2 linked regions of the Rattus norvegicus genome follow. The protein of the gene in region 1 interacts with the protein of each later gene in a biochemical or structural test. Links are inferred from orthologs where the notes say so. Each region holds a gene or a part of one and is shown in the gene's direction. Other genes may lie near its edges. The genes, in order: Insr and Grb10.

What was found.
Region 2: the proteins of Insr (region 1) and Grb10 form a complex in vitro, tested with the Homo sapiens proteins (5 studies listed by BioGRID and IntAct). The link is inferred for Rattus norvegicus from reciprocal best matches to the Homo sapiens genes INSR and GRB10.

Annotation. Positions count from the first base shown.
Region 1 is NC_086030.1:6,125,900-6,130,253, reverse strand, and holds the start of Insr (insulin receptor preproprotein), read left to right. Parts: upstream 1-1,450; 5' UTR 1,451-1,798; coding exon 1,799-1,898; intron 1,899-4,354. UniProt on the Homo sapiens protein: Receptor tyrosine kinase which mediates the pleiotropic actions of insulin.
Region 2 is NC_086032.1:90,813,412-90,817,687, reverse strand, and holds the start of Grb10 (growth factor receptor-bound protein 10), read left to right. Parts: upstream 1-1,300; 5' UTR 1,301-1,506; intron 1,507-4,276.

The DNA of each region.
Region 1 (4,354 bases):
ACAGGGTTAGCTCCTCTTCAAGGTGGTTGAGCGGGGCTGTTTTCTTAGACACACAGCCACCTACTGGTATGTGTGTTGAAAATGGAATATGTCTGCCCTGATCCTATATGAAGTTTCTACCGTTGTTCTAGACGCCTTGTTATGTTCTTCTCGGAGTCATTTCTTTATTGATTTCTGCTGGAATTCAGCGCTGGGTGGAGGGGCTCAGGCCAGGGAGCACAGGCTGCCTGCGTTGTGGACACGTGGCTCTGGCCTGGAGGCTGGTGCAGCCACGCTGCTGGGCGGGAGCTCACTGGGGAGGGAACTTGTTGGGCTCCCACTAGCTCCTAGACAGAGCAAGGGTTGGGAGAATCCAGTAAGGCATTAGGAGCAGAGGTTGTAAAGCGAAACAGAATCAAGAGTAAAGAATTAAACTGAATTCCCCACGGGAGTCAAAAAGTAGTAAAAAGAGTAAAGAAAGTCAAGGTCTGCTTGGTCGAATCTGGCATCTGGGGGCATATTGGCGCTCCCACGTTGTGATCAGAGACTCGAGGCTATAGAGCTGTTTGGGATGTTCATGCCCTGAGGAATCTGAGGGGGGCATTTCCAGGCTTTTAAATTGTTATTTCGGGACCATTTGGGGTGTCCGAACCAGGAGGAGATCTAGAGTGAGCTCCAGACCTTTAAATTGGAACCTCGGTGTTATTTGTGTTTGCTGCAGTCTGGAGGTGACCTGGGGGCGTCCCTAGGCTTTTACATTGGAACCTCAGGCCTGTTAGTGGTTTTCGCGTTAGGAGGGGATCTGGGGCTCCCTAGGCTTTAATATATTTGGTTGTGAGCCTAGCCTTTAACGGCTGAGCCATCTCTCCAGCCCTCCCTAGGCTTTTAAATAGGAACCTTGGAACTCTTTGGGGGCAGCTCCCGACGTCTGACAGGGGAGTCTCAGAGTTGTTTGGGTGTTTATGTCAGACTGGTATCTGAGAACACTTACAAGCTTTTTTTTTTTTTTTTTTTGGTTCTTTTTTTCGGAGCTGGGGACCGAACCCAGCACTTACAAGCTTTTAAATCGTAACCTTTCTAAATCGGCAGTTCGGGGTGTGTGGATTGGAAGAGTCTGGGGTGCACGCCGGGCCTCTGAAGTTGGGGGCTCCACAGGAGGAGTCGAAGAGGCGACTGGGCGAGCGGGCAAAGGGGCGAGAAGGCGTGGCATTGCCAGCTCTGGCCACGCCTCCCAGAGCTCCGCTGGCTTGTCTCTCCCTACCCCACCCCCCCCCCCCCCAGCGGGCCTCACTTGTGCGCGCAGTCCCTTCCCTGCCTTAATCCGCGCCACCTTTTCCCTTGGCCCGCGCGGGCCCAGCTGACGGGCCGCGTTGTTTACTGGCCGGAGTCGAGCCCTAGCTCCCGCCGCCGCCACCAGCCCAGGTGCCCTCCCGTGCGCGCGTCCCTCTGTCTCAGACTCCACACAACGCGACCCACCCAGAGCTGCGCGGAGAGGAGAAACGGGAGACCCGGCCAGGGGACGCACCTTGGTGAGCTCTGGACTCTGCGATTGCGGACACAGGACCGGGCCTGGGTGACCCGGGGTTGTAGTCTGCGGGCCGCGCCACAGTGTTGCTTGCAGCCGAGGCCTGTGTGCTCTTCCCAGGACTGTCCCCAGGGCCCTCTAGGCTGGAGATCTGCGGCCCGTAAGCCACCGGCGTGGAAGAGAAGGACGTGCGGCCCCTAGCGCCTGCCTCTCCAGCGACCTTCTCGCGGAGTATGTCCCCAGTGGGCCGGCGTGGCGTGCTCTGATCGCCGGGGTCCCAGCGCTCCTACTGCTATGGGCTCCGGGAGAGGATGTGAGACGACGGCGGTGCCGTTGCTGATGGCCGTGGCCGCGTTGCTGGTGGGCACAGCCGGCCACCTGTACCCTGGAGAGGGTAAGTCTGGCACACGGGGCGATCACAGTGTGTCAGGGACACTCCTCCCACCGCCCCAGCTAACCTAGAGCCCTCACCCTAAGGAGTGAGGGTCGAGGACACCCCCTCTCCACTGCCACAGCCCACATAGAGAACTCTCCCTTTGGGCTGAGTAATGGACACCCTTCCCATCGCTCCATACAACTTAAGAGCACCAACTCCCCCATAAAGGACTCAGGGCACCCATTTCACCACCCCAGCAAGATAGTCCTAAGGACTGAGAGTTATGGACATTTCTCTTCCTCGGCCAACCTAGACCTCCCTCTCCAAGGACTTAGGTTGAGGACTCCCCTAGTGTCCTTGTGTCTATGAAGAGTCCCCTCCCTAGTGAGTGATTACCTTTCCCCTGGGGAAGGGGGAAAAGTGGGCTTGGTGGCCCTGGTCCTGCGTGAAGCCGGCTGACCTTGGCCTTTGCCCGCTGGGTTTGTGGCTCTGTACCCCGCGTATGCCCATCTCGGGTCTGAGGAACCTTGCCCCAGTGCCCGCCCAGCCTTCCGCTGTCTGTCCCCAGTGCACCTCTCAGTCGTGTCTGTTCTTTTCTCTAAACCCAAATCTGCCCTCCGAGGCTCTTTGGGGTTGCCTTAAGTAAGTATGGTTACTGGGGTGCAACAGATTCAGACACCTGAGCAGTTTAAACGCAAAGTCCGGGGTATCCTCATCGATGGAGAAGCGACCCTTTGTGTATAATAAGTTCATGGCTGCCGTGTTTATAAGTTTCTACTTTCAGATGTCTAGAGGCAAAGTCTACATACCTTTGGCCCCACAGCAATCATAGTAACAGTAGGGGTAGCTTTCAGGATGGTTATAATTAGAATGATTATGAGTCTCCAGGCTGGTTTGCCCTAGAACCTCCCAGTGTTCCCCTGAGGCCAAAAGTGTTGCACACCCATTTCACAGAGGGCTAAACTGAGGTTCAGTTAGCGTGCTAAACTCACTCGTTCAGAGGCTGGTCTTATACTTCTGTGCTTGGTTATGGCCAAGGCAGGAGGATAGCCAGTTGCTTGTGGCAAGCCCAGCTATTGATTGAGTTTGAGGCCAGCCTGGGCTAGGTTAGGCACTGTTTGAAAAAAAACAAAAAAAAAAAAAAAAAAAACAAAAAAAATGCAGTGACAAATGCCTTTTGAGTTACTGGTTCAGCTTTCTCTGAAAATGGAAATTAATTACCAGGAGGAAGGGGTCCAGGAGAGAAGGAATTGCAGCTCCTTTGTGAATGAGGGAGGTGTGCGTATTAGGGGGGAGACTGCAGGATTCTGGAACAGATTGGGTTGAGCTTATGGAGTGGATCTGTTAACCTGGTAATGAGGTCCCCAGCATCTGATATACAGAAGGTGCTCAATGAAGGATGGCCATTGATTTGGGGTGTGTGTGTGTGTGTGTGTGTGTGTGTGTGTGTGTGTGTGTGTGTTTGCAGACGCCCTAGGTTGACTTTGGGTGTTTGTCTCTGTCACTCTCGACCTTGTGTTTTGAGACAGGGTCTCTCAATGAACCTAGAGTTTGCTGATTTGACTGTACTGTGTAGTCGGTGAGCCCCAGCCCTCCCGTACCTCCTTTTGTCACTAGGGTTATAGATGTGTCCTGAAGTGCTGGCTTTTATGTGTGTGTGTGGTTGGATCTGAACTCAGGTTCCGATGTTTGGGCAGCAAGGGTTTTCACTTAATGAGCCTTCTCCCCAGTCCATGGTTTGGGTTCTCATTAAGGAAATCTAAGAATTGTTAACATCTACACTGCTCCCTGGGGCTCTTTGGGATTGCCTTAGGGAAGTAGGGGTATGTTGTATGTGTGGCTGTGCACTCGGGCACCTAGTGTCGTCCCTTGAGTTCTGTTTTTACATTCTTTTGGTAATTAATTGTTCGTCTGTGCCTGGATTTCCTGAGTTCAGAAAACAGAGCTTCTGTGGCTTTGTATACCTGCAGGGTTCGCGAGGACGGGGCCTGGTGTTTGTTCCTCACTGATGTTAGAACCTCAGCAGTGCTGGACACGTAGTAGGTGCACATAAATGTTTGTTCCCTACTGGTACACAGAGGACTTGTGCAGTGAGCCTACTGGGTGTATGGCCAGAGTGTAGTGCTCCCCGTGTGCGCACGAAGTCCCTGGATTTCATCCCTAAACTCACAGAAACCGTGTGTCTGCCTGTCATCATAGCAGTCTGAAGATATAGGCAGGTCTATCAGGGGTTCAAGGTCACCCTGGGCTCCGTAGTGGGTTTGAGGCCAGCCTGGGCTACAGGAGACCCAAACGACAATAAATATGATCTCGTGAGTCCTTCCCGCACCTCTTCAGAGCCTCTGGCTTTTGCATGGGAAGAAAGGACAGGACTATAAAGGTAGCTGACTGGCCGCTTGCCTACGACGGCAGTTACTTGCTGCTTACTGGGTTTCTTGTTTCCTTACTTTTAAATTAAATTAATTAAATAGTGG
Region 2 (4,276 bases), on another chromosome or scaffold:
AGCCCAGTTTTCTCTGCTTTGGTTCGCTTTTGAGTCCTTTGTCTACAAAAGACTTCTTGTGTTCCTTTCCCGGGGAATCGAAGACTTATTTCACATCCTTTCCTCTGGATTTTCACCTTGTGGGTTTCTGAGTCTGGACCAACGGCCAGAAACAGGAGTGAGTGTTCAGTTATAAGAAAGGGAAAACTTTTCATTGATTACATCAATCTGAGGTCGGAAAAACCACGGTTAGAAGCAAGAGGTACCAGAGCAGTGCTCTCAAAAAGCGCGTCGGGACAATACGTGCACAGCACAGCTTTCAAATCCTTGCCCTGAGCTCCCTCCCAGCTTCTCAACCTTCTAGAAGTTACTTCTTAAGAGACTCAGTCTCTCTACTTCTCTACAGTTGCTCTAGAAACAACCTCAGAAGTTTGAGTGAGGGAGAAGTAGGAGAACTCACGAATGTTTCACACCACGTGTCTTCTCGACTACGGTGATTTACGGTTGGGGCTGCTTTTACCAAGCCGAAACTCAAGAAAAAGGTGTAATTATTGGTATCCTATCTGTGCTAGAAAAGCGACACAATATAGACATTAAGAATTATTTCGAAGGGGCCGATCACATAAGCCCTGTTGCCTTTTCGTGGGTCACTTTAGAAACCGGGCACGGCCCGTCTGGGCTTTACTTTCAGGAGGGCCCCACTTCAGAGGTAAAGGACACGAGGCTTGCTAGGCTGCCTCAAGAAACAATGAAGGGCCTCTCAGGCTTCCCTCCTTCGGCTACTCACACGCAGCTGGCGAAACTGAGGCTGAGAAAGGTGAGGCTCGGACCGACCCGCCGTGAGCAAGCCCGAGTTTCCTTGTCCGGGCCCGGGGCTGCCCACGACGGTGTCGGGCGGCCGCAGCCCAGGAAGAATTTGAACTGTGCGGTTGGGGAGTACTTTCTGAGTTTCGAACAATTCCCTTCCGAATGGCCCTTCGGGACAGGTCCGGTCGGTCTTCGCCGGCGCGGCCGCGCACCGGGGCGGTGGCGTGGCGCCGGGGGTCCCGCAAGCTGCGAGCATGGTGGGCGCGCGCCGGCCTGGGCGGGAGAGCATCGTGCCACGCCAACCCCGCGGCCGCTGAGCCCGCGCCCCCCGCGCCACGCCCTGCGCCCAGGCCGCGGCTCCTCCCGCGCTGGCGGCCGCCGAGCGGTCCGGGCGGCGGCGGGAGGAGGAGCAGGAAAAGCGGCCGGGGGAGGAGGAGGCGGAGGCGGTGGCGGAGGCGGGGAGGGCGGGCGGGGCCCGGAGAGTTTAAAGCCCATCGAGGGGGTGGGGTGCGGGGAGGCGGCAGGAAGAGAAGGGCGCTGCGACCAGTGGCGGGCGGGATTCGCGTTCCGAGACCCACGGGAGCACGAAGTTTCCGCGCACCGTCTCACGCACGGCGACTGGGACCGTCCAGTGTCCGTCTTTGCCTTCGGCTTTTTCGCAGGGACTCGTGCAACGTGTGGCCAGCGGCCACGCGGAGGCGACGAGGAGCTGCACGCCAGGTAGGAGTTGGGCGGGGAGCGGCGGCAAGTTACTTTTGTGGTCCGCGCCTCGCGGGGCCCGGCGGCCGGGCGGCTCCCCGCGCCGTCATTGTCTGCGCTCGGGGCCGCCCGCGAACGGGACGCGGGGCCCCGCGAGGCGCGGCGGGCGGAAGGGCGTCGCCTCGGGGGGCTAAGGGACTGAGGGGCTGCGGCGCCCCCGGCCCGCGGCGGGACGGCGCGGGATGGCGGGACGGGACGGCGGGCGCGCGGCTGCGGCGCCCCGCGACGCTCTCCACTGCGCTCTGGCCCCCGGGGGGAGGCTCGGGGCCCCGAGAGGGACATTCTTGAGCCGTCTTGTCCGACGGCGACGGCTCGGGGGGCTCGGGCGGGGGCCGCGGTCAAGGCCGCGCTTTCGGGGGCCACCGCCCTGGAGGGTGGGCGCCCGGGGATCACCGGAGCGGCGGGTACTCCCGCTGCGCCCCCGGCCTCGGCGCGCGCGCCAGGCGGGCCGGGCAGCGGTGCCAGACACTCCCAAGTCCCAAGCGAGCGCGGCCCGGGCCGCGGTCCGAGGATCTGTCCCTACCCCCCCCCCTCGTGCCCCAACCCCCACCCCTTTCTTTCTTCGGGTCTGTTAGTGGCCCCGCTACCCGTCGCTGGGGCCTAACACCAAGTTTGAGGGCTCGCGAAAAAGCAGCCCGCCAGCGGTGGAAACGTGATAAGAGCGGTACCGTTTGCAGAAGGAAATTTCTGATGCAACTCTCCGCCTTTGCTGATTGCCTCTCCAAACGCCTGCCTGGCGAGGGCCTGCGGCATGTGCGTTATGGAAATTAGGGTATTCACTTTTTAAAAAAATTGTATTTGCCTTCTCTTGGCATTGGAAGAAACCCCGCGAACTTCTTTTCATTTGCTTTAACCAAAAAAGTAGGAGCGCCACAGGTGATTTTTACAAGGCCCCGGGTCTTTGGGATGTTTTTGAAAAAACTCTTTTCTTGTAACTGTTTCATTCAAGAGATGCAAAGAAAAAGTCCAAAACAAGTAGCATTAGTGAGTAAATATGTGTTATTGCACAACTTTCCCTTTGCGGCTGTTTAAAAGGCCAGGCCCAGAAGACTTTGTTTCAGAAATTGCTGATTCAGCCATTTGGAGCCCCTGAGTTTCAGAAATGGTGCTCAGTTTAACGTTTCGCTCTCCTTTACCAGAACTCCAGTCGTTAACATCGCCCCCCCCACCTCACCCCCTCGAGAACAGACTAAGGCTTACACTTTAGTGAGGTTCCTATTTTACAGAAGTGGACCTCGAGTTCTGGATTTCTGCAGCTGAGGGAATTGTGTAAGGCGATGGATGAGGCGTCTTAGAACTATTTCACCAAGAGTGCTGCGATCAAATGTGCTCCCAGGAATGAGTCTCGCCTACCAAATTTTTGTCTTTAAAAAAAATCAAAACTTTAGGATTACTGAACATACTTTTTTTTTTTTTTTTGAGTTTTACTGGGAACATTTGAAAGAGGCCAGTCCCCACATTACAGGGAGGGAATTTGAGGACAGACGGAGTTGCAGCCCAGCAGGCGTTGCAGTAACTGAGAAGTGTAGCCACTGATACTGAGGTAGCATTTCGCAGTTTACAAGGCGCTTTCAAAAGCCCTGTTGCTTTTTATGCGCTTCGTGGCCCCCACGGTCCCCATTTTACAGGTCTGGAAACCAAGGCTCAGGAGGTTAACTGGTATGCCTCAGGCCGCACCAGCTAACAAAGGACAAAGCTCTGGGGAGACCTCCTGAGCTTTTTACCGTCTGCAAAAGCATGTCCACTTCTAGAAGAAATGGTGTAGAGGAGGGACACCCTGCTCAACACACAGCAGAGCAAATGGAGGACGGGGCCTGGTTTCTTAGACCAGTTGCTTCCAGCCTTCCAGATTAATGCCACGTAGACCAAGCAATTATCACTGAGGTTTTTCTTTTTTCTTTTTTCTTTTTCTTCTTTTTTTTTAACTTACATACTCATTTACTTTGAGAAGAAACTTCAATATTCATCAAGCCATGAGTTTGATATGATATTTTTGTTCATTATGATTAAAGTTAAAACGCTTCGTGGCACCTAAATCACTTATTACACACTACTTGGCCTATGTTGCTTTTGAACCAGTGTTGGGTTGGTCAAAGTGGATTTTGTAGGCGGACTAGGGAACCAGAAAGCAGGGCAGATTTTTTGGTGGCTAATTGTCTAGGACTTTGGGTGGTGGTTACTGCTATGGTTGGAAGCCAGAGCAGCTGTGTCTGTCCAGTTAGCCTCCACTGGGCAAGAAGGACAAAATCAGAACCAAAGATCCAGCTCAAAATTTAGGATGTGGCTGAACCCGCTGGGTCACAGGCTTTACAGTGTTTCGAAGCCAAACTTTGGTTGAACCAAGCCATCCATGTGCCCTTAGCTCATTTTAGAGCTGTACAGATTTTTGCTTGGCCTATCTTTCTTTTTAAACTGGTATTTTATAGATGGTGTGATTTAGAGAACCTATTTGCTTGAAAGTTTGTTCCACGTGTAAGAAACTACAGGACCGTCGTGTCTATTTGCAACTGTGCGCTGGGGGCAGTTGTCCATCCGTGGAGACTCAGTGCTCCCCGCCGGACATTTCAGTGTTGGCACTTAATAGGAGGGAAGCCTGTGCAGAATCCAGTGTCTGTTTCTCAGCCCGTTAAAACAACATGGAGGGCAGACGAAGCAGCTCAGTGTAGAGCCATGATGAGGCCTTGGCTTTAACTCCAGCTCCAAGTCCTCCTCCCTGGAGAAATTCCCCTCA